Linked DNA regions of Saccharomyces cerevisiae S288C. Changing the gene in region 4 together with the main gene of any one other region gives a genetic interaction. Each region holds a gene or a part of one and is shown on either strand. Other genes may lie near its edges.

Region 1 (4,249 bases), on a different chromosome or scaffold from region 4:
CATTCAAGGTTGAAATTAGGTGAAGTGCCTCTAACCTTGGAAGACAAGGAAAGAGGGTCTCAATTATTGACTAACTGGGAAAACATGACCAAAAACCTAGATGATTCTGATGATGTTGTCAAGATTGCTCTTGTGGGAAAATACACTAATTTGAAGGATTCCTACCTATCTGTGACCAAATCCTTAGAACACGCAAGCATGAAGTGCCGTCGTCAGCTAGAAATCCTCTGGGTAGAGGCAAGTAACCTAGAGCCCGAAACTCAAGAGGTGGACAAGAACAAGTTCCACGATTCATGGAATAAGCTCAGTTCCGCCGACGGAATTTTGGTTCCTGGTGGATTTGGCACGAGAGGTATTGAAGGTATGATTCTTGCTGCCAAATGGGCCCGTGAATCCGGTGTTCCCTTTCTTGGTGTCTGTCTTGGATTACAAGTTGCCGCTATCGAGTTCGCCCGCAATGTGATAGGCCGCCCAAACAGCAGTTCTACAGAATTTTTGGACGAGACACTACTAGCTCCTGAAGACCAAGTAGTCATATACATGCCCGAGATCGACAAGGAACACATGGGTGGCACGATGAGATTGGGTTTGAGGCCTACCATTTTCCAACCGAACTCAGAATGGAGCAACATAAGGAAGCTTTATGGTGAAGTTAATGAGGTGCATGAGAGACATCGTCATCGCTATGAGATAAACCCGAAAATAGTGAATGATATGGAGTCTCGTGGCTTTATTTTTGTTGGTAAGGACGAGACGGGCCAGCGTTGCGAAATATTCGAATTGAAAGGCCATCCATACTACGTGGGCACTCAATACCATCCAGAGTATACATCGAAGGTGCTGGAACCATCAAGACCGTTTTGGGGGCTTGTGGCCGCAGCCTCCGGCACACTTGGTGAAGTGATCAAGGACATAAATCTAAGCGAGGGAAATGAAAATGAATGAATTGATGCGCTTACTACTTACTTACATACGGTTTTTATTCAAGTATATTATCATTAACATTAGTTGGTTAGACCAATGACACCACAGGCTGGTCTTGGACCGGCATTACCAGTCTTCAAAGATTCTTCAGTGTCACCCTTACCTAAGTCATCTTGGCCGGCGTGGATAACGACGCTTCTGCCTACAACGGAGGTAGGACCGATAAGCTTGATCAAAGAGTCCTTGAAGGAGCCCTTGGCCACACCATTTTCGTCCGTCTTTACGTTACCCATGTCACCGACATGTCTGACTTCGTCAGTTGGAGCACCATGTGTCTTCTTGAAAGGATTGAAGTGAGGACCAGCAGAGACACAACCATTGGTGGCATCTCCAAACTCATGAATGTGGAACCCACGTTCTGCGTTAGGACTGTTACCAGCGATCTCGTAAGAGACAGTGGTTGGCTCGGATTCGGAAGCCTGTTCGAACTTGACAACACCAGAGACACCGGCATCACCCTTTAACACTGCGACTGCTTGAACCATTATAAATTAATTATGTTTTATTTGTTTGCGCGATTGCTTTCTTGCCTGTTTTTCCGCAACATAGTTACAGCTAAACATTTGCCCAAAACCATCTTCTTATATATATATCTGCGATGGCGAGCCCAGCGGAAGGGATGTCCGCTTACTAATTCCGACACACCGGTTTAACCCCCCGGCGTGCTGGGGTGGGTGCCCCTAAGGGAGCGGGTTCTGTACTTCCAGTAAGCGGCATTTGCGCTGTCATCGCCTTATCGAACCCGCTACTGAGATCATGTCCTGAGTGGGTGAGTCGCACGCCCAATCGGCTGCACTTCAGAGATACTTACGTCCAATTTCGCATCATGCCAATATTACCTGTGGAAGTTGAAACTTTTTTTGCAGATGCCGATAATTTTCACATGGATGAGTCGCAGTGTCGTCGTACGTGATGAGGGCAGGCTTGAAAATTATTCTTCGAGCCCAATTCTCTTTACTTATAGGCATGCCATGTCTAATTAGGTAGTCATCTCAGTTTATCTTGTGCAGGGTAGAACCAAAGATAACAGCAAAAGAAAGAGCAAGCAATTATGACCGCACCATTGGTAGTATTGGGTAACCCACTTTTAGATTTCCAAGCCGACGTCACGGCTGAATACCTGGCCAAGTATTCTCTAAAGGAAAACGACGCAATTTTGGTCGATGCCAAATCAGGCGATGCTAAGATGGCTATTTTTGACGAGCTCTTACAGATGCCAGAAACAAAGCTTGTTGCAGGTGGTGCTGCTCAAAACACTGCTAGAGGGGCAGCATACGTTTTGGGCGCCGGCCAGGTGGTGTACTTCGGTTCCGTCGGTAAGGACAAGTTCAGCGAGAGATTGCTTAACGAAAACGAAAAAGCTGGTGTCAAGTCTATGTACCAAGTTCAAAATGATATTGGTACCGGTAAGTGTGCCGCATTAATCACTGGCCATAACCGGTCCTTGGTCACTGACTTGGGTGCTGCCAATTTCTTTACTCCAGACCACTTGGACAAGCATTGGGACTTGGTCGAAGCAGCTAAGCTCTTCTACATCGGTGGTTTCCACTTGACCGTGTCTCCAGACGCTATCGTTAAGTTGGGCCAACATGCTAAAGAGAACAGCAAACCTTTCGTGTTGAACTTTAGTGCTCCTTTCATTCCTCATGTCTTCAAAGACGCATTGGCCAGAGTTTTGCCTTATGCTACCGTCATCATCGCTAACGAATCGGAGGCCGAAGCCTTTTGCGACGCCTTCCAATTAGACTGTGCCAACACTGATTTGGAAGCTATTGCTCAAAGAATTGTCAAGGACTCTCCAGTTGAAAAGACTGTCATCTTCACCCACGGTGTCGAACCAACAGTGGTCGTGTCCTCCAAGGGTACCAGCACATATCCAGTCAAACCTTTGGACTCTTCTAAGATCGTCGACACCAACGGTGCTGGTGACGCCTTCGCTGGTGGCTTTATGGCTGGGTTGACTAAAGGTGAAGATTTGGAAACCTCTATTGACATGGGTCAATGGCTAGCTGCTTTGTCTATTCAAGAAGTTGGTCCCTCTTACCCTTCCGAAAAAATATCTTACTCTAAATAGATTCTTCTTACAATATAATAGAAATAAAATATACTCTACGTGTTCCCTCTAGCTTTTCATTCGTAGACATGTTTACCGCTTGTTCTTAAACCAAATAAGCCACCGTTACCACAATAAGGAAAAGAGGCGCTATAAAGTACAGCTTCAAGAAAAAAGGACAAGCAGCGCTAAGAACAAAATACTCGTTCATCCTCTCCACATACGGCCGTACACAAGCAACAATAACACAATAATATGGACTGGGCAATCAATGTCGCCCATCCACGATTACTTTACAAGGATCCTAAACTTTCAGTAACGTTTATTGTGCCGAGCTTATTTCATATCATTATTGCTTTCGTGTTATTAGGAATATGTGCATCCGATTTTCTTTGCCCCAACGTGGCCCATATATCAGATCCCAACAGCCTTCGATCGAATGGTTCTTTAGTCTCAAAAACGGCGTCCCATGCATCTCATACTGGGGCATTAATGGCAGTTCTACTATCTTGGTGTAACTCTTCGCCTGACCTATTTTCCAACTTAATGAGCTGGGCAACCTCTACGAGAGAAACAAGGTCAACCTCAGTATCGCTATCAATTGGTGAGGTGCTTGGCGCTTGCGGCATTATCCTGTGCATTGTAGAGGGCTCCATTTTTATTATTATGTCAAGAACTCACATTGAAATCTCGCAAATTCAAAAACTATCCATCATGAGAGACTTGTTATTTTCTTTAGCTGCCATGTGCGTAATGAGTTACGTTTCCCTTATGAATCAGGTCACTGTGCTGAATTGCCTTTTGATGGCGTTCCTTTATGCCTTTTATCTAGTCGTTAAGTTAACTTTCAAGCTTAATCATTCTGCAGAAACCCCAGATGAAACTGCTGCGGATACGAGCCTCAGAGAAAACTCCGTTTCTCCTTTTTTGGATGACTCTCTGATGGCTTCTGGTTTACTACCACCAATACAACCTGGCTTTGACATATCCAATTCTATAACACACGGCATTAAGCCTAGTTTGCTATCTGCTATGGATTTCAATAGTTTCTTATCAATGCTTGAAAACTCATCTTTGGAGGAGGATGACTCAAGGAATGAAATGGCAGAATTGAACACTCTACGTAGCATGACGCCGGGACAACATTGGTCCGCCTCTGCAACAGTTGCAGGAGAGGCAACGAGTGCTGGAAGACCTTTCAGTGAGCCAACG
Region 2 (5,967 bases), on a different chromosome or scaffold from region 4:
CCGATGCTATGGGCTGTTGGAGTCCCACCTTCTGTTTTATTTCATTAATTTCTTCGTCTACTTCAGAGCTCCCCTTATTCGTGGTAGAAGTCGGCATAGCAGCATATTCCCTGGAAGATCCTCCAGCCATATTGTCCATATTAGTACTAAATGCTTTAGAAGTTTCCTCTTTTATCTCTACCGTCAAGAAGTTCGCATTTTGCGCTACGAAAAACACTAACAACAATAATAGCGTTGTAATGCTTAAAATTCTAGCATTTCTCTTATTGGAAGGTATCATAATAAAATTGTTTCTATATTAAACCGCTAGGTTGCTAAGGTTTCGTCTTTTCTATCTTACGATAATTTGCTTAAAAGTTCATTTAGAGAATAGATAGTGATCTTTCCCAGTATAATGTTTTCCCGATTTCGCGAACGCTCCGCCTCAGGCGCCCCGGGACGCGTCATGCGCGTTCCAGAAAGTTAACTAACTGCTAGTGCATTCAATTTCTCAAGGCGTAGTATTTGGGATCTATAAAGCCTTCGACATTAAGCACTATGCTTAAAAGCGAACAGCCTGCGCCACTACTTAAGAGCGAATCTTGTGTGGAGGGATGACTAGGTCCAAAGAGGGAGAAAAGGATCTTGCGGAAAAGTCAACAACACTAATCGGTAGCTGAGTCTGTCAGTGCATCCTTACTGGCTTACTATTTTCATTCATGCTGCAAGTAGATTATCCTCTAGTTAAATTAAACGCGGATGAACTACGCCATTAAATCCATCATAAGAAACTAATTACTACTTTTAGGAAATTAGCCAACTAAAAACTGCTGAAACGCCACATTTCACATAAAACCCCACGGAGCAGTAATGGGAGATCTTAAGCTCAGCCCAGTACATATGTCCATCAGCCTTGAATAGCCACGGTGAGTTCTCGAAGCTTCCTTCCACCTAGTCCAGAATATTTCTTGGTAAATGGCTCGAAGTTTTCGTATTAAACGATGCTATCAGCGGCATCGTGAAATATTGAAATATAAAAAGTATTTACGCAACCGAAAAGGATATTAAGACAAACCCATACAATAGCCCATAAACCAAGCAAATACACATCTCATGTCAGCTCAAGATTATTACGGAAACTCTGCCTCCAAACAAAGCGTACGTTAATTTTACAAGTTTTGCCTTTAGAAGATCACATCGTACTAACGAGCCCTTGTATTTTCATTACATCACTTTCGATTCAGTATTCTCGTCCTAGCGCTCCACCACCAGGATATGAAACGGCGTCTAGAGGTTACGCTCCATCGCAAAGCCAACAGAACTATTATCCACCTCAACAGCAGCAGCAGCAGTATCAGCAACAACCTCAATACTATCAGCAACAGCAGCCCCAATATTACCAACAACACCCACAGCAGCCCATTTATGTCCAACAACAACCGGCCAGTTCTGGAAATGAAGACTGTCTAGCGGGCTGTCTAGCGGGTTTATGTTTATGCTGTACTTTGGATATGCTGTTTTAGAGTATCTCCATATCTTGTGGGAGCAAACCCTTTCACACAAATCCACTATATAAAACAAAGCACAATTGCACCTCTGATCTTTTAATCTTAATTAAATAAGCGTGATTAAAGTGTTCATGCAAGTAGATAATATATAATGATGATAAGTTCGAAAATGCCCTTATAAAAATTAAACCGCGTGCTAGAAGTAAACCTCCTTCAACCTGCCTCTTGAACGAATAAGCTTCTTACAAGAATCTGCGGGACATAATTTGGGGCCATAATTATCCGGATGAGCCGAACCCTTTAGTTGAGCTAGTTTCTTTTTGGGCATCTTAGATTTTTTTTTTGCATTGTCAATCCTGGCGAAACACCTACCACAAAATGCATGACCACACGATGCAATAAACGTTCGTTTTGATAAATCTCTATCAAGCATTGATGGTCTGGCTAGGGTTTGGTAGGGGCAGTGGAATTTGTATTTTGACACTAACCCTTCAAATGAAACACCACGATCCTTTTGACTGATTCCAGTAAAATCATCCGGTATTCCGACCCCCAATTCTGCGCCACACAAGCAACAAACAGGAATATCCTCGAGTGTTTTTGCTAAATCGTCATCTGTCACAATGATGGTTTCTTCTTTACCATTTTTCGTAATGTCTAATTTCATTTTTGGCGTAGTATCAAATGACGCGCTATAACCTTCGGGTAGGCTGGCTGCCCTAGCTTCGAATTCTTCCTGTTGGGCTCTGGTTTTGTTCATTAGATTCTTCATGACCACATCCCGCTCTCGTTCTTCTCTCTCTTGGATCATATCAATGATATTTTGAGTGTGTCGTTCCTCGTCAGCATCGCTCAATGCTGGGCCACTCCACAAACGACTTAAGAACCCATCCTCTCCATTGAAATTAAGATAGTTTGTGATTGATTCACGTAATGTGCCACGATGGAAAACTCTTCCTGCCGTTCTTTCTTGTCTTTCCAATGCTTCTCGGTGAAGTCTCAAGGCCTCTTCCTGAGTATTTCTGACCCTATCAATGGCCCAATTCTGCAGCAGTTGATTTCTGAACTCAGTGAAGAGTGCCATTAGTTCTTCTTCACATTCTTGCAAAGTAATTGGAGCAACATTTTGTAAAATAGACCTGAATTCATGCAGTGACTCTGCACGATGAAAAGCACTACGAATATCAGGCGTATATGATTGTATTCGTTCCCTGATTGATTGTAACCTAATAGATGTACTTATATTTTCGTCACTGGACACCCTTTGCTGTTGTACCCTACGTTGTCTTTCTGCAATCCGTCTGCTCATTCGCATACGGCTCTCCCTACGAGCCCTTTGAATAGCTTCTGGTAAATTATGGGTATCATCTGTCCAATCTTCATCGTTTTCATCAGACCGGTCCACAAATAAATTACGGGCTCTTGTAGCACTCCTTCTCAGTAACTGCCTGCGTGATGCGCCTAGATCTTCTTGGAATTCAAATGACCTTCTTATCGGTATGTCTGTTGTCGTCGCAGTTACCTCAAGCCTCTCCCCGCCTGGCAGGTTCAGTGTCACTCTGGGTCGTGTTGTTCTCTCTTCAACTATTGTCAGGCCATCATCACTTTCATTGTTATTACCATTATCATTCAAGTACCCGTTTGTGTTATCTACTTGTATTGTTCTTGGAGTTTCTAACGTTTCAGAACCTGGCTCCTGATCAAGATCGACGTAATGTGCAGAAGGATCAATAGGTCCATCGTCTCCAAAAAACCGTCCAACTTCTCGTATTATAGTGATATCGTCGTTATTAGCTTGAAAATCAGGGCGCTCAGAGCTTGCTGTTATGTGAGTCCGTTGAGAATTCCTGCTCCTTGAATCTGACCTCACAAACCTATTTAAAGCATCACGTCGTCTCCCTACCCGTCTGTCTGGGTACAACCTCACAGGAAGGTTAGCCTCGCGAATAGAAGCGTCTTCTTCCTTATCACTATCTATTAATATAACTGTCTCATTTGGATTATTGTCTGATGGGCTATTATTGCTCTTTGTTCGACCGTTAGTATCGCTATGCATTCTATTATTTCGACTATTAGAGGAGCTCCGCGTTCCAAATAATAATTTTTGGACTGAAATCTTTTCAAAAGTTCACTCCTAGACTGAAGCTCCTAGTGCAAATTTCGACTTGGTTATTACCAATCAACGCAACACACGCTCTTCTTAATGATTAAGTCTTCGTTTTGGTCGCACACTGCCTCTCATCCATGTTAAATAGTAAATATTGCGACCTTGCGTATACAGTGATGTTTCTTATGGGCAAAGCCAAAAAAAAAAAAATACGTAAGAGTGACAGATGAAGAAGTGACACTTTGAACAAAAGACTCTATCAAAATTTTTTCAGATTCAATCCAAGGATAAAGAGAAATCTATGATGTAGTGTTACAAGAATTAATGATATATGGTCATCAAACAGTGTCGAGACTGGAGAACAGCTTATCGATATTGTTCCTACCTTTAAAAAACTCGAAATATGATTATGATTTCTACTTGCTTGCTCTTAACAATTAATGACCAAAAAGTCACCACATATACTCTTTTTTTTTTATATGGCGAATACGTACAATACTTTTGTTCTCTAAAAGAATTTAGTAATATCTATTTTACAAAGTCGAGGGTTACAAAAACTTCAAATAGGAAGTGAAACTGAATGGGGGAAATATATATAAACGAAACAATTATTCTGCTAATAATTGAGCAAGCTACCAGAAACTTTTGACTAATTTCCTTTATTCAACTTATTTCTTCAAACCGCTTCTCATGTATCTACCAACGACGATACAATGGTCTCTTTCATATGGCTCTAAAGTCAATTGTTCTAATGGCTTAATACGTTCCTCACGTAACTTTTGAACTTCTCTAGCAAAAACGGTTTCCGCGTCTACAGTAGAATCAATACAGTTAGCCTTAATGGAGATAACAACACCACCTTGGTCCTTCAAGAACATATGAGAGTTCAATGCAATAATACGAGCTTGATCAGGCTGGGCAACATCTGCGAAGACACAGTCAACCATACCAATCAACATTCTGTATTTTTGTGGGTGTCTAGCATCTTCAATGATTGGGATGATATTAGGTCTCTTCTTTGCCATAGAAATCAATTCTCTGCCTGGTCTGTGAGAAAATTCTACGGCGTAGACAACACCTTCTGGACCAACAACATCTGAAACGTGAGAAACAGAAGTACCGGAAGCAGCACCTAAATATAAAACTTTCTTGCCTGGGGCAATAAATAATTCATCTAGACCACCCATAATACCGGCAGCCAACTTAGATCTGAATGGGTTCCATACACGGTATTCGACCTTGGTTGGTGGGACACCATCTTCCTTAGATGGTTCTTCAACGGAGATTCTCTTTTCACCATAAACTGATTCACCTGGGGCCATGTTCTTGGTAACTAGCAAATCTTCTTTACCTCTAGCAATGTAAACACCGGCATGTCTATGTGGTTCAATAACGACCTTGGCACCACCACGGGCACCACCAGCAGCGCCACCTCTACCACCTCTGGAGCCACCACGGGCACCACCACGAGAACCGCCTCTACCACCGAAGCCGCCTCTGGAACCACCACGGGCACCACCACGAGAACCGCCTCTACCACCGAAGCCACCTCTGGAACCACCGCGAGCACCACCACGGGAACCGCCTCTACCACCGAAGCCACCTCTGGAACCTCCACGGGAACCACCTCTGCTACCTGGTCTGAATGACATTACTGTTTTAGTTGATTTGAGTTAATTTGATCGGAGTTATTGAAAGCAATGGGCAACTTAGATTTATCCGATGAATGATATCTAATTGTTTCTCGAAGAATAACTTATATAACAGTAGTATACCGATGTAAGGAAAACTTCTTGGCTATGTAAAACTTTTTGAAAGTTAGAGGAAGAAAGTATTATACATTCAAGAGAGATGAGCTTTCCAATTTGAAAAATTTTTCAAGAAAAAGAAAAAATTTGAAAAAAAAAAAAGAAAAATATAATAAACATATCATTTTGTACGCAAAAAGTTAAGGAATTATGAAAAGGGACTAAGAGCGTGAATTTTACAGAACGGAGGACAGTAAGATTATATTCTATTTAGCTATCTAGAAACCAATTGAGCTATTTGAGAGAGATACATATTTTGAATTTAATTTGAAAATGCCTATCACCATAAAAAGCCGCTCTAAAGGGTTAAGGGACACTGAAATTGACTTATCCAAAAAGCCTACTTTAGATGATGTTTTGAAAAAAATCTCTGCTAATAACCACAATATCAGCAAGTACAGGATAAGATTAACCTACAAAAAGGAATCTAAACAAGTTCCGGTTATTTCAGAATCGTTTTTTCAAGAAGAGGCTGATGACTCAATGGAATTCTTCATCAAAGATTTGGGTCCCCAAATTTCATGGAGATTAGTCTTCTTTTGTGAGTATTTGGGTCCAGTCTTGG
Region 3 (5,558 bases), on a different chromosome or scaffold from region 4:
CTATTCCATATATGATTTATTTTTTTTTCGATAGGTCTCCTGCAACTGGCGAAGTGGTAAATCGATACTCTCTTCGATTTCGTTCATTGCCCATTTGGAAGTGGTATTGTGATTATTTCCCTATAAGTTTGATTAAAACTGTCAATTTAAAACCAACTTTTACGCTTTCAAAAAATAAGAGAGTTAACGAAAAAAATTACAAGATTAGATTGTGGCCAACTAAGTATTCCATTAATCTCAAAAGCAACTCTACTATTGACTATCGCAACCAGGAATGTACAGGGCCAACGTACTTATTTGGTTACCATCCACACGGCATAGGAGCACTTGGTGCGTTTGGAGCGTTTGCAACAGAAGGTTGTAACTATTCCAAGATTTTCCCAGGTATTCCTATTTCTCTGATGACACTGGTCACACAATTTCATATCCCATTGTATAGAGACTACTTATTGGCGTTAGGTATTTCTTCAGTATCTCGGAAAAACGCTTTAAGGACTCTAAGCAAAAATCAGTCGATCTGCATTGTTGTTGGTGGCGCTAGGGAATCTTTATTAAGTTCAACAAATGGTACACAACTGATTTTAAACAAAAGAAAGGGTTTTATTAAACTGGCCATTCAAACGGGGAATATTAACCTAGTGCCTGTGTTTGCATTTGGAGAGGTGGACTGTTATAATGTTCTGAGCACAAAAAAAGATTCAGTCCTGGGTAAAATGCAACTATGGTTCAAAGAAAACTTTGGTTTTACCATTCCCATTTTCTACGCAAGAGGATTATTCAATTACGATTTCGGTTTGTTGCCATTTAGAGCGCCTATCAATGTTGTTGTTGGAAGGCCTATATACGTTGAAAAGAAAATAACAAATCCGCCAGATGATGTTGTTAATCATTTCCATGATTTGTATATTGCGGAGTTGAAAAGACTATATTACGAAAATAGAGAAAAATATGGGGTACCGGATGCAGAATTGAAGATAGTTGGGTAATAATGAATTCATTGGAAAACACAAAATATGTTAGAATAAATAAGGATTTTTTAGTGTTTGGGCTGTATATCTTAAGTAAGAGTATTAACTTACAGGAATACTGGAGTTCTCGTTGAATATTAGTGATTGTTTTACGTAAATTTCATTTATTTAAAGCTTTTACATTAGAAGTTGTTTGAATGTAAGTTTAGGAAAGCACTACATAGCTTACCAGGCAAAGCGTAACTGAGAGGCAGTAAATACCGGTGGTTTCCATATGAGTCTATTAGGGTCTATTGTCCTTCTCTTTTTGGCTTTAAGTCGATTGTACCTATCTAAAATATCTTCATTCAGGAAAATAATATGCTGACCCTTGTAATATCGCAGGATATTCAGTGTCTTTGCTGTGTGTAATATATCTGTAGTGGTCATCGAAGTCATGGAGCTTATTTCGTCTATAGTAATTTCCTTCTGGTGTTCCACTAATAGCGTTATGAGAGTGTCCGACCAATAGGCTCTATAGGATAAGAGACCCAAATCAGACAAAGGTTTCTCGGGAGAACCAACTTTGTTTTCCTTTTTCGACAATTCATACGAAAATTCAATCAATAACTTACCATATCCCATCCTTTGGTATTGTGGTAGTGTTAAGATACATGCAACATTGTAACCATCCGCGGATTCTTTTTCCTTGGAAAAATATCCCACCAGATGGTGACCCAACTCATCTCGTCTCGTCATGCAATAAAACAAAAACGGATCAACGTCATAGTATAATGTTTTGTGATCTAGGAAAAGTTTGGAAAGTAAACACAAGTTTCGACACCAAGTCCTTTGCTTTCTACCATCGATTTCAAAGAATGAAACATAATCGTCTCTGTAGATTTCATTTCCTGGCGGATGTCTTAATGTACATTTCTTCCTGTAGCGTTCGTATTGTTTCTTAGATCCAAAATACTGCAACGTGAAATCGTCGATATATATAAAATCTTCATCAGTTAATTCAATAGGATATGGAGAAAAGTACCATGGTTCTATTTCATATTTCCCCATAATGATTCGATTGAGATTTCTAACTCGAGCCACCTCATGTGGATTTTGTGTCATAGAGCCGGAGGTTCTAAGCTTTTTTATCTCATCCTCGTGTGATATGTTCTCATCTTTTATTCCCTGTACATTTAGATTATCTAAGTCCATAACATCCGTATTTTCTCTTGAGAAACCATCTACACCATCTTGCAGAGAGTCTTGTGGCGTTTCACTAGTATTTGTTGCCTTCTTCTTTTTTTGTTTCTTATTATCTTCATCAGTAGCCTTTAGTTTCGGATATAGTACTTCTTTATCCAGGTTTATTCTGTCAGTGGTAATCCACTCATCTAAACGCTTGTTGTAATTAACATAGTGAACATAGAATTTTGGTGGTGCTTTTCTTGTGTTTATGGATAAAATTTCAGCTAATCGTTCTTCATCATTTTTTTGGACCCAGCATTGACATTTGATAATAATATCATCTACTGAGTTTATCTTTTTGGCAATACCAGGTTCTTCTTTTCCGTCATGGGACATCGATGATTTCTTGCAGTATTTCCGAGAATGGTAGCACAGGAAGCGTCTAAAGAATGGTAAAGCTCTTTTCTATTCTCCTTTGATTACTATAATAATATACACCTTTTAGCAATATTCGTTTTGCATTTGCTCCGCCGGAAGCCGTTTTCATCTTTTCAACGGGCGGGTAGTAATTTGGAAAATTTTCCATCATTATAATAATGATGAAATAGTCAATAGGTACAGCTCATCGATTAATTATAATCACGTTGTTCCTTCCCAAGGAAAAAAGCAATATCTGTTGCATGCCATGTCTGACTCCTCAGAAGCCACTGTAAAGAGACCCCTTGATGCTCACGTAGGACCTTCCGAAAATGCTGCAAAGAAGTTGAAAATTGAGCAACGTACTCAGGCAGATGGTATTCACGAAGCAGATGTCGGTATTACTTTGTTCTTATCTCCAGAATTGCCAGGATTTAGAGGCCAAATTAAGCAGCGTTATACTGACTTTTTGGTCAACGAAATAGATCAAGAAGGTAAGGTCATTCACTTAACTGATAAAGGATTTAAAATGCCAAAGAAACCACAACGCTCTAAAGAAGAGGTCAATGCAGAAAAGGAGTCTGAAGCAGCTAGAAGACAAGAATTCAACGTCGACCCCGAATTAAGAAATCAATTGGTGGAGATATTTGGTGAGGAAGATGTATTGAAAATAGAATCCGTTTATCGCACGGCTAATAAAATGGAAACGGCAAAAAATTTCGAAGATAAATCTGTTAGAACTAAAATTCACCAACTGTTACGTGAGGCATTTAAAAATGAATTAGAATCTGTGACTACTGATACTAACACTTTTAAGATTGCAAGATCAAATAGAAATTCAAGAACCAATAAACAAGAGAAAATTAACCAAACCAGGGACGCTAACGGTGTAGAAAATTGGGGATATGGTCCCAGTAAAGATTTTATTCACTTCACTCTACATAAAGAAAATAAGGATACTATGGAAGCTGTCAATGTTATAACAAAGTTGTTAAGAGTTCCAAGCCGTGTAATTAGATATGCAGGTACTAAGGATCGTAGAGCAGTAACGTGCCAAAGGGTTTCGATTTCAAAGATTGGTTTGGATAGACTAAATGCTTTAAATAGGACTTTAAAAGGAATGATTATCGGAAATTACAATTTTTCGGATGCAAGTTTGAATCTGGGAGACTTGAAGGGAAATGAGTTCGTTGTTGTTATTAGAGATGTTACCACCGGCAATAGTGAGGTATCACTGGAAGAAATTGTGTCTAACGGCTGTAAGTCTTTATCAGAAAATGGGTTTATCAATTATTTTGGTATGCAGAGATTCGGTACATTCAGTATTTCTACGCACACAATTGGTAGAGAATTGCTCCTTTCAAACTGGAAGAAGGCTGCTGAGTTGATTTTATCTGACCAGGATAACGTGCTTCCTAAATCTAAGGAAGCTAGGAAGATTTGGGCAGAAACTAAGGACGCGGCTTTAGCATTGAAGCAGATGCCAAGACAGTGTCTCGCAGAAAATGCGTTACTATATTCTTTATCTAATCAAAGAAAAGAAGAAGATGGAACTTATTCTGAGAACGCTTATTATACTGCTATTATGAAAATTCCCAGAAATTTGAGAACTATGTATGTACATGCCTACCAAAGTTACGTCTGGAATTCTATTGCTAGTAAGCGGATAGAACTACATGGTTTGAAGTTAGTTGTAGGTGACCTTGTCATTGATACTAGTGAAAAGTCACCACTAATTTCTGGGATTGACGATGAAGACTTTGATGAAGATGTCCGTGAAGCTCAGTTCATTCGTGCAAAAGCAGTAACTCAAGAGGATATCGACTCAGTTAAGTATACCATGGAAGATGTCGTGTTACCATCGCCGGGTTTTGATGTGCTTTATCCTTCCAACGAAGAATTGAAGCAACTGTATGTGGATATATTGAAAGCAGATAATATGGACCCATTTAATATGAGAAGAAAAGTTCGCGATTTTTCATTGGCTGGCTCTTATAGAACTGTTATTCAAAAGCCAAAGAGTTTAGAGTATAGAATAATTCACTATGATGATCCTTCTCAACAATTGGTGAACACTGATTTGGACATCCTGAATAACACCAGAGCAAAAGAAAGCGGCCAGAAGTATATGAAAGCCAAGTTGGACAGATATATGCCAGATAAAGGCGGTGAGAAGACTGCGGTGGTGTTAAAATTTCAATTAGGAACCTCCGCATATGCCACCATGGCATTACGTGAACTCATGAAGCTTGAGACTTCTCGCCGTGGCGACATGTGTGATGTTAAGGAGAATATCTAAGGTTATACGAGGTGCAATATTCATGTATATTAGTTTACTTTTTTTGTCGGAAGCTCTTTCCCTCATACACTATTGTTGTGTCCGTGTCGTGTCACTTCAGGCGTCGGTAAATATGTATCTGCGCATCGCACACAAAGATAAAGCCTTTTTAAATATAAACAACACCTTCTAGATATATCTTATCAAAGGATACAACCACGTTTCTCAACAAGAAGGACCTAATAGAGGAAAATTATTATACTGTAGCTATCAATATTTTATAAACAAAAAGACAGATATATTCTCGCGTATTGAAGTCGGGAATCCAACGAAGGTAAAATAATAATAAAATACGAAGCATTTAATCCGGTCAAATGTACAAGAACTATTATTCAAACACAGAAGTTTATAAAAAGCATAAAGACTCTGGAAGTTTGAGGAAGAAAGCTTTGAGATCGAGAAGATCATCTTTTTTTTCATTTTTCAATGACTCGTCTAGTTCGAATGGAAACGAATTCATAGGTTTTAGACGATTTGCAAAAGCATATCTGTTTGGTCGTGAGATAGGTTCATGTGGTACAGATTCATATACACCAGTTGGGGCAAATGTAAACAAAAGACGTTTAAAAAAAGAAGATAAAAACGATCAACAGCTTTGGAAAAGGCAGCACCATTCACAGGGTTGTTTTTTTCCCATAGATGATGACAGTAATAAGCAAACAGAAGCA
Region 4 (5,199 bases):
CTCCAGTTCCTTAACAAGTTCGTGTAGTTTTTCGGTATCCAACCCTACCCTTAAAATGTATTGTGCATACTGAAAATTAGAATATATGTCTTGAGTTTTCTTAACTACCTCCCCGTACATTTCAATGGTTTTCCATCTTGGTAGCAAGCTCTTCTTGTTTTTCTTGCCAAGGTGAAATTTGGCCACATTATGTGATTCTGATGCAGTCACCTCATTTGTGAGGCAAAGACTATTGTAAACGTTAAAATCTAGTGACACATGTCTAGGAAGTGAAATGGAACTTGTACTTCTATTGATATCGTTTGAAGAGCCTGATCCGCTTGGATTATTCAAAAAGTCCAAATCATTCGATTGACTAAAAGACAGAGCGACAGATTCATTCTGAGAGGGAGGGGGCTCAGCGAAGTCGTGAAACTCGGAATTACCGTCTGCCGATGTGCCATTTAAAATTTCGGATGAAATTTCAGAAGCAATTTCAATTTCACAAGAACCTTGTGATTTTTCCTTCAGTGAGGAAGAAGCATCGTCCTCAACGTCGTTCTCAAACTCGTCCTGCTCAGGAAGAATCTTTCTTGTGGGAAAAGAGTTATATTTTTCAATCAATGAGGGCGAAGCGTCGATATCCATCGCATCCTCACCAATAGAGGATGAAATTTTTTCTTTATCATTTGTAAACACATCACCTGAGCGTGAAATATGAGATGAAACGGATGACCAGTATTGACGAACTTCTGGTTTATTCAATATCAGAGAGGAATCAGAGGAGAATCCGCTTGATTCCAACTGTTTATCAACCTCATTATAAGCTCCAATTTCAGGGTATGCACCAGGAGTATTTGAGCAAATAGTCATGGACATTATGGGTACTGCCTGATTTTAACAAAGGGATACTCGTAATGTCAACCGTACTTCTCTTGCTGTTAGCAAAAGTATTGTTCTATTCTTTTTTCCAAGTACAATTTTTTATTCAATTTAAAAACGTCGAAACGAAGACAAGGAAATTCATTGCCATAAAGAAGTGTATGGTATTTTACGTTGGTTTTATAAGAGGATGGCGACATATCAGAAAATTTTTCTCTTCACTCCCCTAAAAGGATAAAGCCGCGCGGACCCTGCAGGAGGAAGTAGTCATCGGGAAGAAGAGTAGAAAAATACATATATTTCATGGGTGACAGACAATACGAAAGTTATTTAAAAGAACTGAAAAAAAAGGTTAAGACCGCAGTAGGGTTGCGAGGTATATGACAAAATATATGCAAAAATCTAAGACAGTGGATGGAAATGAAGATAAAAATGTACGGAACGCAACCTAAGAAAAAGAGGAGAATTGAAAGTAAACCTGTGTAAATAAATAGAGACAAGAGACCAAATACCTACTCGTCTTCTTCTCTGGGGTCACCAACACCATCTTCATAGATCGCGAACACACATTCAGCCTCTGGTAAGCAAGGTGAGTCAACAACTTTGCATAATCTTTGACATCCCTTACCCTTTTTGAAACCTAATCGCGTGGTGGAAGAATGTGCCATAATATTACCACCGATAGGCTTCTTTGGATCTGGATTAAAAGCCATACCACCATCAACTTGGGCGACCACTTGGTTAGTAACGACGACTGCAACACCAAATTGGTCGGCCAGCCTTTGCAAAGCACGCATAAATTTGGCTAAATGCATTTGCCTTGCGCTTAGTTCACCACGACCAGAAAAATCCGTACGGTATAGAGCCATAACAGAATCGACCACAATCAAGGAAAACCGAGACTCGCTCATCATTTGGGCAGCAGCATCCAGAAGTCTTAACTGATGATCGGCGTTATAGGCTCTTGCATACGCAACGTTGTTCAAAGCATCATCCGGGTCTAATCCGAACCGCTGAGCTATGGATACCAATCTTACCGGCCTGAAAGTACCTTCGGTATCGATATACAAACACTTACCTTCACCGCCACCAATATCCAATGGAATTTGGCATGTCACGGCCAAAGTGTGACATAGCTGGGACTTACCTGTCCTGAATTCACCGAAAAGCTCAGTAATAGAACCAGTTTCCACACCACCACCCAAAAGAGTGTCCAAATTCTTAGAACCCGTTGTCAAACAAATCAGCTCCGATCTTCTCATATGAAAATCAGCAGCCGTGACAAATCCCATAGGCACTAGCCTTGCCGCTTCGTTTAGCAACTTATCTGCCTTAGCTTCCGATATACCTTTGATTTCCAATAAATCCTTTCTGGGAGCATATGCTACCGCTTCAGCAGTGTGAAGCCCACTCTCCCTTAGTTTTTTCACATCCGCCATAGTAATCCCGTTCACTTGCAGTTTTTCTATTGGCACAAACGAACCTAAGGCAGCTTCATCGTATGCTTCATCCTCCATTTCACCTTGCGCTTCCGCTTGCTCCTGCAATCCGCCACCATCGCCGGAGCCGTTGGTGGCCTCAATATCTTCGCTGCTACCGTTGCCGTTTCCATCAACGACTGACTGTGAAAGGTCTGCTGGTACAGTGGACATCAACGAACCGTTCCCGTACTGAAGCTGTGACTCTGATATATGTTGTTCTTGAACTTGAGACATATGACGATAACAAATTAGTAGGCCTTTAACAAATAACTACGTCTGCTCTTTGTCGCTACACTCAACTACTAGTATATGGAAACTACGGAAGATAGAAGAAGTAACTGAGAAAATTTTTTCTCCAGTCCCCACTATTCCCCTTTATGGTCCCACCACGCGTACTGTAAACAAACCAGGACAGAAATAGCGGAAATGACGCGTAGCATAGGGTAACGAAGTGTGGCCTAGTCGTGGGATATGGTGAGACGGTGATAAAACACTGATACAACCGGTTGGAATGCTCAGGGAATGCTCAAGAAGGCCACCTGTTGCAGGATAGCTAAACTAGATTGGTTGAAGAACGGTAGTGGTGCATTTCCAACATTTACCGTCCATTTTAATTTACTCTGTGACAATGATAAGCCAGATCGCTATTAACGTGGTGTAGTCATGTGACCGGATGGCACTGCCGGTGGCAAAAAAGTGCAAATGCAGGGGCGATGAAAAGAGAGGAAGAAAGAGTTTATGGCATAGTAGAAAGGCCAATTAAATCGGGAAGCTGCTAAGTAAGTTTGAACCGTAGTTTCGAAGTAGAGTGCGTTTCTTGCGAATTGTGGTGAAAATATTGAACAGTGAATAAAGCATAAAAAAAAAATGTCGGATCCAAGTTCTATTAACGGTGGTATCGTCGTTGCGATGACAGGTAAAGACTGTGTGGCCATTGCCTGTGATTTGCGTCTCGGAAGCCAGTCACTAGGTGTGTCGAACAAGTTTGAAAAAATCTTCCACTATGGGCATGTGTTCTTAGGGATTACCGGTCTGGCTACCGACGTGACTACTCTGAACGAGATGTTCCGCTACAAGACGAACCTATATAAGTTGAAGGAAGAAAGGGCCATTGAGCCTGAAACGTTTACCCAATTAGTGTCAAGTTCACTTTATGAAAGAAGATTCGGTCCATACTTTGTGGGGCCGGTGGTAGCAGGTATTAATTCCAAGTCCGGGAAGCCCTTTATTGCGGGATTCGACCTAATCGGCTGTATCGACGAGGCCAAGGATTTTATCGTTAGCGGTACTGCATCCGACCAACTGTTCGGTATGTGTGAGTCCCTGTACGAACCTAATCTAGAGCCAGAAGATCTTTTCGAAACTATAAGTCAGGCCCTACTGAATGCTGCTGACCGTGACGCTCTATCAGGCTGGGGAGCTGTAGTATACATCATCAAGAAGGATGAAGTGGTGAAGAGATACTTGAAGATGAGACAAGATTGATCGGTTCATGGCAATCTCATGGTCCCAAAAACAACCCCAACACAAAATATCAGCGGAACGTCAAGAATTTTCCACATCCAACTCATCTTTAATTTTTAAGTAAACAGAATAGATCGAATGAATATATAAATACTAAAATGCATAAAGTCAGTCGAAGATCTGAGTAGCTATCCGCTGGCTGTCCTTTTCTAAGGAGCAGCGTTATTCACCAGCCGCGAGTCTCTTGAAAAATTGGCGCTTTTAATACTTATTAGGATGGGGAACTTGATTCTTTGACGGGTTTGTCAGCAATTAGTACGACTATCCTACTTCATCAAGAAACGAAACTATGATCGAAGAGAAGAAGGAACTTAAGAAACGCAGGGTTCTTCAAATGGCCAGATTTTATGGTGCGGCCGCCTTCACCCTGATTACCATGAGGCTTATCTCCAGGGCCATAAAAGTACGAAAATGTATGTATTTTGTCCTAGTTCAGTGGCCAAAACTAATAATAGGATATAGTTACTAACACCGTCTACTGAAAGCAGACGTCCCCAGCATATTTCAACAAAATTACAAGCTTCCACCTTTTTCCCAAAGGAATGAAGCCATGTCAGCGTTAACGTATGCATCCGCCGCTTCAATAGGTACGTTCAGCACATTGATATTCGGCTTTTGTTGGGCACTTGACATTTCAACGGCAAGAGAGTTTGTATTTAAGACTAGAGAGTTCATGAGCCTTCCACAAGCCTTAGAAACCGACACGAGCATGGACGAAGAAACTTCCAAACTAACTAAGCAATTGCAAGACCTCCTGTCGAGCGAAAACAACAAGTAGCACTACGCATTGGCTTAATCTCTTTAAACTGTAAATAATGGTATAACTACGAGCCGTTGCCGGCTGGTCACATATCGTATATCCGTATACATTCTTTCTTCTTTTAATTATACATATTGTAATCTTTTTCTTTTTTGCATTCTCTTAAAAATTGATTGATCCATCGGCGAAATGGAAGATGGAATATCAAGCAGTTCTATTGTTCTCGGATATAACTAAGGTACCTTCAATTTGTAGGTGTACACGCTAGGGAGGTTGCTTCGTGCTGTACCGCTTCTATTAAGTTTTTGAAATTCACAATGAGCATACCTCACAGTGCAAAACAGAGTAGCCCTCTCTCAAGTCGGCGCCGGTCAGTAACTAATACTACTCCACTGTTAACCCCTAGACATAGCCGTGATAACTCGAGCACCCAAATATCAAGCGCCAAGAACATCACCTCCAGCAGCCCATCAACCATAACGAATGAAAGTTCCAAAAGAAATAAACAAAATCTGGTACTCTCGACCTCATTTATCTCCACCAAGAGGCTAGAAAATAGTGCACCTTCACCGA

The links.
Region 1: mutations in RAD51 (region 4) and SOD1 impair growth when combined (synthetic growth defect), as found in Saccharomyces cerevisiae (4 studies listed by BioGRID, with this or other methods).
Region 2: mutations in RAD51 (region 4) and SLX5 together harm fitness more than expected from each alone (negative genetic interaction), as found in Saccharomyces cerevisiae (4 studies listed by BioGRID, with this or other methods).
Region 3: mutations in RAD51 (region 4) and ESA1 impair growth when combined (synthetic growth defect), as found in Saccharomyces cerevisiae (3 studies listed by BioGRID).

The regions. Positions count from the first base shown.
Region 1 is NC_001142.9:621,546-625,794, forward strand, and holds SOD1 (superoxide dismutase SOD1), read right to left. Parts: upstream 1,470-4,249; coding exon 1,005-1,469; downstream 1-1,004. Other genes in the region: CTP synthase URA8, read left to right, coding at 1-945; ADO1 (adenosine kinase), read left to right, coding at 2,036-3,058; ECM27 (Ecm27p), read left to right, coding at 3,293-4,249. UniProt on the Saccharomyces cerevisiae protein: Destroys radicals which are normally produced within the cells and which are toxic to biological systems.
Region 2 is NC_001136.10:426,643-432,609, reverse strand, and holds SLX5 (SUMO-targeted ubiquitin ligase complex subunit SLX5), read right to left. Parts: upstream 3,544-5,967; coding exon 1,684-3,543; downstream 1-1,683. Other genes in the region: glutathione-disulfide reductase GRX6, read right to left, coding at 1-280; YDL012C (uncharacterized protein), read left to right, coding at 1,093-1,137, 1,224-1,502; rRNA methyltransferase NOP1, read right to left, coding at 4,263-5,246; trans-2-enoyl-CoA reductase (NADPH) TSC13, read left to right, coding at 5,676-5,967. UniProt on the Saccharomyces cerevisiae protein: Component of the SUMO-targeted ubiquitin ligase (STUbL) complex SLX5/SLX8 that mediates ubiquitination and subsequent desumoylation of sumoylated proteins and proteins containing SUMO-like domains for their degradation.
Region 3 is NC_001147.6:789,504-795,061, reverse strand, and holds ESA1 (NuA4 histone acetyltransferase complex catalytic subunit ESA1), read right to left. Parts: upstream 2,532-5,558; coding exon 1,194-2,531; downstream 1-1,193. Other genes in the region: DGA1 (diacylglycerol O-acyltransferase), read left to right, coding at 1-986; pseudouridine synthase PUS7, read left to right, coding at 2,821-4,851; SSP2 (Ssp2p), read left to right, coding at 5,205-5,558. UniProt on the Saccharomyces cerevisiae protein: Catalytic component of the NuA4 histone acetyltransferase (HAT), a multiprotein complex involved in epigenetic transcriptional activation of selected genes principally by acetylation of nucleosomal histones H4, H3, H2B, H2A and H2A variant H2A.Z.
Region 4 is NC_001137.3:347,357-352,555, reverse strand, and holds RAD51 (recombinase RAD51), read right to left. Parts: upstream 2,577-5,199; coding exon 1,374-2,576; downstream 1-1,373. Other genes in the region: SHC1 (Shc1p), read right to left, coding at 1-858; PUP3 (proteasome core particle subunit beta 3), read left to right, coding at 3,210-3,827; AIM11 (Aim11p), read left to right, coding at 4,156-4,279, 4,355-4,644; TORC2 complex subunit TSC11, read left to right, coding at 4,944-5,199. UniProt on the Saccharomyces cerevisiae protein: Required both for recombination and for the repair of DNA damage caused by X-rays. Its function may be modulated by interaction with other repair proteins. RAD52 interacts directly with RAD51, via its C-terminus.